2 linked regions of the Caenorhabditis elegans genome follow. Each later gene encodes a partner of the first gene's protein in a complex. Each region holds a gene or a part of one and is shown on either strand. Other genes may lie near its edges. The genes, in order: let-711 and ccf-1.

The links.
Region 2: let-711 (region 1) and ccf-1 share a complex: the UniProt entries of both Caenorhabditis elegans proteins name them as parts of the CCR4-NOT complex.

Annotation. Positions count from the first base shown.
Region 1 is NC_003281.10:6,944,892-6,949,888, forward strand, and holds the start of let-711 (CCR4-NOT transcription complex subunit let-711), read left to right. Parts: upstream 1-1,826; 5' UTR 1,827-1,873; coding exon 1,874-1,970; intron 1,971-2,113; coding exon 2,114-2,241; intron 2,242-2,294; coding exon 2,295-2,441; intron 2,442-2,512; coding exon 2,513-2,671; intron 2,672-4,190; coding exon 4,191-4,317; intron 4,318-4,372; coding exon 4,373-4,536; intron 4,537-4,593; coding exon 4,594-4,885; intron 4,886-4,928; coding exon 4,929-4,997. Other genes in the region: abu-13 (Activated in Blocked Unfolded protein response), read right to left, coding at 362-756. UniProt on the Caenorhabditis elegans protein: Scaffolding component of the CCR4-NOT complex which is one of the major cellular mRNA deadenylases and is linked to various cellular processes including bulk mRNA degradation, miRNA-mediated repression, translational repression during translational initiation and general transcription regulation.
Region 2 is NC_003281.10:11,918,328-11,922,380, reverse strand, and holds ccf-1 (CCR4-NOT transcription complex subunit 7), read left to right. Parts: upstream 1-2,143; 5' UTR 2,144-2,160; coding exon 2,161-2,289; intron 2,290-2,336; coding exon 2,337-2,621; intron 2,622-2,673; coding exon 2,674-3,192; 3' UTR 3,193-3,553; downstream 3,554-4,053. Other genes in the region: Y56A3A.22 (DUF1279 domain-containing protein), read right to left, coding at 220-684; trap-4 (Translocon-associated protein subunit delta), read right to left, coding at 975-1,079, 1,132-1,460, 1,595-1,640; znf-593 (Zinc finger protein 593 homolog), read left to right, coding at 3,668-3,793. UniProt on the Caenorhabditis elegans protein: Catalytic component of the CCR4-NOT complex which is one of the major cellular mRNA deadenylases and is linked to various cellular processes including bulk mRNA degradation, miRNA-mediated repression, translational repression during translational initiation and general transcription regulation.

The sequences.
Region 1 (4,997 bases):
TTGTACTGCTTTTCTACAGAAACCAGATGTTTTGAATATTTTGAAGATAACGCTAAAAACTGGGCATTTTAAATGTTGAAATGAACAAACAAGTATAAATGAACTAACAAGTGAAATGAACTAACAAGTAAAATTGAAATGAACTAACAAGTATATTATGAGTTGTGAAACCTGAAACTAATTTCCACTCATAGTACAATAATAGCCTAGAATGGGAAATCTCGCTTTTGGAAATGAAGTTTTTTTATTTGAAATAATAGTAAAAACTATTTTGTTGATCGGTAAAAGATCAAACTGAACAATTTCCAATTTTCCATTTCTTATGCGCAACTCGCTTACGAATGTCATTTCAATCACAAACCTTGGTGGAACAAATGGAGCTGGAGTACTTGGTGGTGGGAAGACCAATGGTGGATGAGTTGGGAATGTGAATGGAGCATGAGTTGGAAGGGTAAATGGAGCCAATGTTGGATGGCTTGGAAGAGTGAATGGAGCAACTGTTGGAAGAGTTGGGAAGGTGAATGGAGCTGGTGTGACAGCAGCTTGTGGTGCTACTGGAACAGCATTTGGAAGCTGTGGCGCGGCAACTGCTGGTGGCTTCTGATCAGCGGTTTGCACAAAAAGTGGGGCTCCCTGAGCTTGAGCAGCGACACCAACTGGCTCACCACCTAGCTGAGCTGGTAGGTCAAAAATAGTGTTTTGAAAGGTGTTCTGCGCTAGAGCCACAGAGGGCAGAAGAGCTATCAGGAGCCACATCACTGGAATTTTGAAATCGAAGAAGAACTGAGATTTGAGGTTCAGCTTCTTCTTTTTCTTGCGATTCTGGAGAAAAGAATAGAAGATCTGGATGTTTTAGAGACGCAGAGAACTGGTGCGGAACGGGTTTTTAGCTTTGTCATCCGAAAATAGTATGAATAGACGAAGAGCGTCAGACATGAGATCGTTTATGTTCCATGTCCAGAACCATCAACACCGCCTCCTTCTTCACCCATCGTTTTCCCTACAACCACGATTTTTATCTTTTCTTTTCTTTTCTTTTGTAAGCAACAAGAGAGAGAAAAGAGGAAAATCCGTGCGTACGGATTGCCTTAGAAATTGAAACAGCGAGAAGTTTGACAGGGTGGTGACATCTGATGAACGATTTATGGGATTGTACTTTATTTTTTATCGAACGGGAATTAGTTGTCAGGGGAGGCATTCAAATGTGACAGTATTTCAGATAATCCACAATTCAAAGTTAAACTATTACACAGATACGAAATTTTGCCGATTCACAGTACCCTGTCTCGACACGCCCAAATATGTTTTAATTTAAAAAAAATGGAGTACTCAAAACAGAGCATATGTCATCCAAATATTATATTCCCAGATGAATAATTTTGAGAATGTGGCCACAAAAATACGGTAACCAAGAAGCAAAATTGAAATATAATAAAACGTTCACAGGAAAAATTACAATTTCTTAAAAACGGATATTTTTCAACATTTTCGAAGTACATGCGCATGTTTTTTGTATGATTGTGATTTGGTCAACTGCTATAAAGTTATAAAATTTATGGTGCACATTTTTTTTATAACTTTCGACACATTTCATGGATCGGTGCTCATTTTCTCACAGCTGCAGCTGTCGATCCTCCATTCTGCTGTACACTAAACAACACGCGCCTCGGAATTTCGGAGTGTCGTTTACAAACTAGAATTAAAACGGAACGGATCTTGGCACGGCGCCAATCTTTCAATATTTTTAACTGTTTCTTCACATAGTTTTATTTGATCTTTAAAAAATGCGCTTCACAAAAATTAGCGCGAGTTTTAAGTTTTCAAACTTTTTAATTCGTTTTTTCCTCATTTTTCGCCCCATTCGTTGTTGAAAATGCATTCAACTTCAGGGTTGGCCCCCGTTTTTCGTGTGGAGGAAAATCATATGATTCGGAATCGAGAGAATTTGGAGAGACCTATCTCCAAAAAAGGTGAGTATTTTTTAAGCTAATATAAAAATATGTAATTTGTTCTTCAAGAAACGATTTATGATTTTTTTTAATGAAGGGAAATTATTTATTGAAGCTGTTTTATAAATTTCACAATGTTGTTGAAATCTTTGAAAAATTTGCAGGCACCATCACGCTTTTGTCGAAAATGCCGATGGGATTCGTGTTGAATAGTTGCTCTTGTGCTTATATCGACAATCTTCTTGCTCATAGCAGTATTCATCGTGTGAAACCTCACTCGTTCATGATTCAGGTAGGATAATCGAATGAAAACTAAAATTTTGGGAGGAAAAAGCTATTTTTCAGCGTCTCGTAGTCATTTGTGGTCGTTCATCACCATCATTGCCAAATCATGCAGCCAATATCATTCTCTCTGCATTCAATTTCTGTCAAATCGAAGCACCGGCGAAAAAGTTTCTTGAAGAAGACGCTGCCCTTAGTCTTTTTCACACTGTAAGCGCTTTTTTTTTGGAGTTTTGAAGCTTTCTTTACATAGTGTTTATTCAAAAATATTTCGTTTCTAGATACTCTCCTATTCGACAGTTACACAAATTAATCGAAGCGGAATAGAGATTCTTGGAGCTCAACGTCTCACTTCGGCTCTCTGTGATTTGATTTATGCATACACGAAGACCATGGATGATATGGTTGCCAGCAAGACATTGACCCATTTGTGCAAGAAAGTGAGTTTTTATTTTTAAATTTTCAAAATTTCCTACTAAAGCTATCCCCTTGAAAATAATATAAACTCCATTTTCTGGGAAGTTGAAACTTTATTCAACCCAAGATAAACGTTAAAATTCGACTCGACAAAAGTAAATTTATAAGCATCTAGGTTCCAAAAATACTTTAGCCTTTCAAAAACTTTCTATAATTTTTATAATTTTCTGTTCAAGTTAGAAAAAAATTTTTAAACCATATTTAATTTATTTTTATTTTTCAAAAAGTGTATTTACCTAATTTCCATTCATAGACGGTTTTCAAAGTGATATAAAAATCTTGAATCTAAATATTTAGTTTCAAGTAATTTTTTCGATCCTTAATTCTTCCCAATTTTGCACTCTCTCCTATTTTTTCTTTTTCCCAACGTATGATTCTTCGAGTGAAAATACAAATAATCACTTCTCGCCCGTGCCGGACAATAACGACAAGACGCAGAATGCGAAAAGTGCTGTAACATTAACATTTGATCGTCGTGGTCACACACAGACAGAGAGAAAAAGAAAGAAAGACTAAGAGGAGATGGACTTTAGGAACGGACGGTCCTCTGTTAGCTTACGGGAACATTGAAAGAGAGCACGAGATTAAGAGAGACACAGATATATAAAGAAAGTTCACGGGATGAGAACTCTCTTGAGAAGGCACACACACATATACACAATATCACATTTTTCTCTCTTTCTTCAAATCTCTAGGCCTTCTGGTCAATTGTTAGAAGTCCACTGGCCAGAGACTAATCCTTTATCATTTAATTCATATATTTATTTATATTAATTTAGGCCAAGACTAGGTTACTGTAGACTAGCGCCCAGATTTTCCAGACAATACAGTTTATTTGGTCTTGTTCTTGATCTTATCTCTTATCAAGCCTTTTCTAATTTACGATGAATCCCTTTAAAAGTAGATGAATGGTGTTATATTGGCGTCATATAACTATTACACATTTATTCAAACGACGCTTTTCTTTGACAGTTTCTCTGCTACTTGTCGATCTTTTCTCCTGCCATATTACTGGTGATAAAGCAGTTTTTCTTCAGAAAAAAATTGTTAAAAATAAAAGATTACTTTTAAATTATTTTTTAATTTTGCAAAAATAAAATTCAAATGATTTATTAGGACGCGCCCACTTTTTGAAGAGTTTCCTGTTTTTCGGCATATTTAACTGGGTTTTCTTGTTTTTTTTTTAAATATTTCTAATGTGACGTCTTTTTTGAAATTACAAATGAAAAACCAAGAAGTGACATTTTATTTTATTGGAAAACTTGAAAAAAGTGGGCGTGGCATAATCAGCCATTTGATTTTTTTCGTTGCAAAATTTGAAATATCATGAAAAATTGAGAATAATTTTCAAAATTATCATTAAGACCCAACAATTAGTCTTGCATGTAAGATTATTCTCAATTTTCTAAATAAATAAAATGCTAAATTAAAAATTGAATTTTGATTCTTTTTTCAAATTAATTATTTGATACTTTTTTGCAGCTAGCCGGTTTATTCGATCCTCTGGTGGTCCTTCCGTTTATCAGCAAGCTCGCCAAGAGCCGGCGTCTTCGTCACTATCTTCAGCCTTTGTTCCTTGGTCACTGTGAATATACATCTGATACGTGGGGTACTGTACCGTTTTTTTAAATTCAATTTTTTTTACATTACAAATAATTTTGAAGGCGTCTCTCCGGAAGGTGCTGAAATATACAATCAAATTGCACGTGGCAACTTCACAACACAAACTTTGATAGAAATAGTACAGACATTTCTGGAGAAAGAAGTGAAAGAAGTTATCATCAGTTCGACTACCGATCCAATCAAACTTGTACAATATCTGATATCGGTGAGAATAATTTATTATTTTTAAACCCTTAAATTTCCAAAAACAAAAAAATTACAGTGTTCCAACCCGGACAACACTGAAATTGTTCAAGCACTGGCCTTCCTTCTCTACTCGAATACTAAACTATTACCAGCTGGAAGTGGTGGGACAATTGACATGGATGTTCAGGCGGCTGATACGATTACAACTGCCCGGCTCGGTGATACAAAGTTCACTCAACCTGTGAAGGATGCATTGCTTGATTCTGGAAGAGAGGCTCTGCTCAGGCGAATGGAGATTTACGGAGTATCGCTGTTGTCTTCTGTTGAAAATTTTGTCACCGAATTGAAACAGGCACCAATTCAGAAAAGTTGGATTTTTAAAAAATTTACTTCATAATTGAGGATTTTCAGAAATGGTGACTAACAATTCAGTTGCAAATGCCATTTTATACATGCTTCAGTACAATTTTGACATGTCTC
Region 2 (4,053 bases), 5.0 Mb from region 1:
CGTCTGTGTAATAACCAGGGCTTCCCTTTTTGTTCCTTTTTTCTTTAAAAAATTAGTTTTTTCAATAAAATTGATTTCTTTACAAAACATGGTTTTTGTCTAAAAAATCGTGCTTTTTATACAAAAAAATTGGGTTTCTTCCGAGAAAATCTGTGTTTTTTCCAAACAAATTGTTATTTAATTAAAGTTTTCGAAAAAACATCTGAAAATCCTCCGAACCTTGTACAAAATCAGCGAAACCACCACAACTCCGGCGGTTTCGGGCGTATTTTTGACCTTTTCAACGATAGCATCCGGCATATGAAGCCATTCGAGCAATGAAATCACATCAACTCCACTTTTAACCACCAAATACAATGCGATAAACCATGCTGTACACGATGCCGCGTGAGCCGGCACAGCGATATACCAATATCTTTTAAAATAATATTTCACTTTTGCGAACAACGTTTTCGGCGCTTCTTCCGCCTTCATTTGCTCGATTTTCGCCGTTTTTGCGAGTTTTTGCTCCTCAGACATTGTCATTCTGAACATTTTCCATTTTTGATCGTCTGGCTTCTTCGGAGTGGGCTCTTTCTCGTGGAGTTGTCGACTTGTGTGCAGGAATCGTGAGCTTGATGGGGTCTGGAATTGAGCACAACAGATGCTCCGCGAGCATCGGATTATGGATCGAGCCAAAAGCATTTTGCCTGAATGAAAATTTTGGCCTAAAGGGGGTCTTAAAATTATCTAAAGTAAGTTTCCCGGGGATTTACACTCTCAACTCTTTAAACTTTTTTTTACGTCAGTCTAGCAATTAAATTTCAATTTATGGCTATTTGGGGGCTACTGAACTTATAAATACACGAATGGGGTGGAAAAAGGGGCAAAAATCAATAAATTACATTTTGTATATATAAATAAAAACAAAAAGAACAAAAACCCAGCACGCAAACGTGCGTTGACCAGTAATTTGGGGATAAAAACAATGATATTTAGTGGACAAGTTCGGTCTTTTGACGAATGGCGTAGTAAAGGCCAATGACGACGATGATGACGGCGACAGTCTCGGAAGAGATTGGAGACTTCGTGGCGAGACCCTGCAAAAAATGATTTTTAAAGATAATTATGTGAAAATGATGCAATTCTCACCCCATGGCTTTGTTGAACGGTGAAGAGTGGCTTGGTGACAGGGTTCTTGGCGTATTGAGCGGCTCCCTCCTCGTCGAAAATGTTAATATTAAAGGTTTGAGCTCCGGCGTCCTTGTGCTCAAGAGTCCATGAGACTTGGAACTTGGCGGTCTCGTCGGAAATCGAGACTGGGATAAGGCGACCGTTTACTTCAGCAGTGTATTGGATATTCTTCGGGTTGTTGCTGCATTGAAGTGTGAACTCGGTGATGAAGGTGGTTTTGTAGTGGAAGAATCCGTCGGTAGTGGAGAATGACGAGGCCGAGTACTTTGGCGACTCGCACTTGGCGCCTGGAATATTTATTGTTTTATTTGTATTAAATGTTAACAATCTACGCTTAAAATTCGAAAAATCGAGCCTTATTTTTATACAAGCCACACATTTGAATAATTTGTGTGGGAATTTATTAATTTTTCCAACTTACAAAGAGCGGAAGCGACAAGGCAAAGGGCGACGGCGATCTTCAGCATTATTACCTGCAAAAAAGTAATTAAATTCGTGTTTTGAAGAATTATCTTGTAAAATGAGTAAAATAGGCATTCTATACGTATTTTACTCGAATTTGCATCATTTTAACGCACAAAATTCATGTTTTTAGGGTAAAAATCAAGAAAATAAGTGAAAAATTCATTAAAAACACATTTTAATTCACTAAAACGATGTTTTCTCGACAGTTTCACGTAAAACAAACTCACTTGGCAGCTAGCCAGTTTGCAGTTCTCTCCCGTTCGCTGCGAGACCCACACCGCTGGGAAACTCCATGCGCCTTTAATGCCGATCCAAAATCGATCGTTCAAGAACTTCTTTTGCGCTTCAAAACTTTTGCAAACTGACTTTTTCTCCCGTTTTTCTGCTTTAAAAGTTTGCGGAAAAATTATTTTATTTATTTTATAAGCTATTTTCGATTTCTGTCCCATAAATTCGTTTAAAAAAATCGAAAATAAAAGCGTTCACTCTAAAACGAAAATTCTAGTTCCAGATATCATAAAAATGGCTTCTAGTAGCAGTGGTGGAGCAGGTGGAGCAGGTGGAGCAAGTGGAGCACCAGAAGTCAAGATTCACAACGTATATATGTCAAACGTGGAGGAGGAATTCGCGAGGATTCGAGGATTCGTCGAGGTACAGCCGATCGTTTGAATATTTTTAAAAAATCGGTTTTTTTTCAGGATTATCCCTACGTGGCAATGGACACAGAATTTCCCGGAGTTGTGGCGACACCGTTGGGCACATTTCGAAGCAAGGAAGATTTCAATTATCAGCAAGTGTTCTGTAATGTGAATATGCTGAAATTAATACAAGTGGGCTTTGCAATGGTCAATGACAAAGGAGAGCTACCACCGACTGGCGATGTTTGGCAGTTCAATTTCAATTTCTCCTTCGCTGAAGACATGTTCTCGCATGAGAGTGTCGAAATGCTCCGGCAAGCCGGAATAGACTTCACATTGCTGCAGGTTTTTTTAATATTGATTTTCCAATATTTTAATAATAATTTCTTTCTTCCAGAACAATGGAATACCGACAGCAGTATTCGGAGAACTTTTGACGACGTCAGGCCTCATCACTGATCCACGGATCACATGGCTCACGTTCTCTTCCGGCTACGACTTTGGATATTTGTTGAAAAGCATCACACTTGGAGATCTGCCTAAGGAAGAGTCAACGTTCTTCATGTGCCACAAAACTCTCTTCCCAACCAGCTTCGACATCAAAATCCTGCTCCGAACTCCAAATTGCGCGTCTGCAAAGCTGAAAGGAGGACTTCAAGAGGTCGCCGATCAGCTGGACGTGAAACGACAAGGAGTTCGCCATCAAGCTGGATCCGACGCACTGCTGACCGCCGCCACGTTTTTCAAGATCAAAAAGCAGTTTTTCGGAGACAACTGGAACCAGATTGCTCCATTGATCTGTGGACATATGTTTGGTCTTGGATCTTCGCTTTCGCTGTTCCATAGCTCCGGATCAACTTCTCGACTAGGCGATGAGACACCACAAGGCCTAATCGGAGTTCCACAACAAGCCTGAACAGATCTCTTTCCCGTCATTTTTCATGTGTCTATTTCTTTTATTTTTTTCTTCCTTTTTCCACCAAAAACCGTCTACACTGTTATTGTAAATTAGCTGTCTGTTTCGTGCCCTTCCCCATCTCTCACCCAAGTTTTTTGTGTTTTCACGCGCCCTATAATTTGTCTTTGTTATTATATCTCCCTATACTTGATGACTATACGCTTAGTTGTTTATAGGTGATCATTACTCTGAAAGTTCGATCTTTTTTATTTGTAATTTTCAGCAGCAGTAGAAGCTGGGCGAGATCGGGCGCCCCGTGTATCTTTTTATTTTCATTTTCCCTCCCCTATGCCCAAAAAAATAAAAATTTTCGAAATCTACTCGCGGAAACTTTAAATTTTCAACTAAAATAAGGGTTTTTGAGCCTGAAATTATCTTTTTCAGCTGTTTTGTCTAGATTCAAAGCTTAACAAAAGTAGTATTTCAGCAAAAAATGCCGAGCGGTGGACAGAGGAAGCACACGATTTCGAACAAGACACGTAAACGTCCCGGAAAGGATTTGGATCAAATCCATGAGGATTTGAAGCCTGAAAAGGCCGCCAAGCTTCTCCAGCAAGAGGTTTTTCAGATTTATTACTCGAAATAAACCCTTAGAATTCGCAACACTGCCGCACGGTTGTATTTTAACTGCTTTTCTACAATTTCGCGTTAATTTTATCAGGAAATCTGGCAAATAATCAAATTTTGCTGGAAAAAATGCTAAAAACTCGTAAAATAAAACTGTGCGGTGAAGTTGCAAAACTGCGTGCCGCGGCATTGCGGTGTGTCTCCGCCCTCTAACAAAGTTTCGTTTTTATTCATTTTATTCTCTTTTTTCGA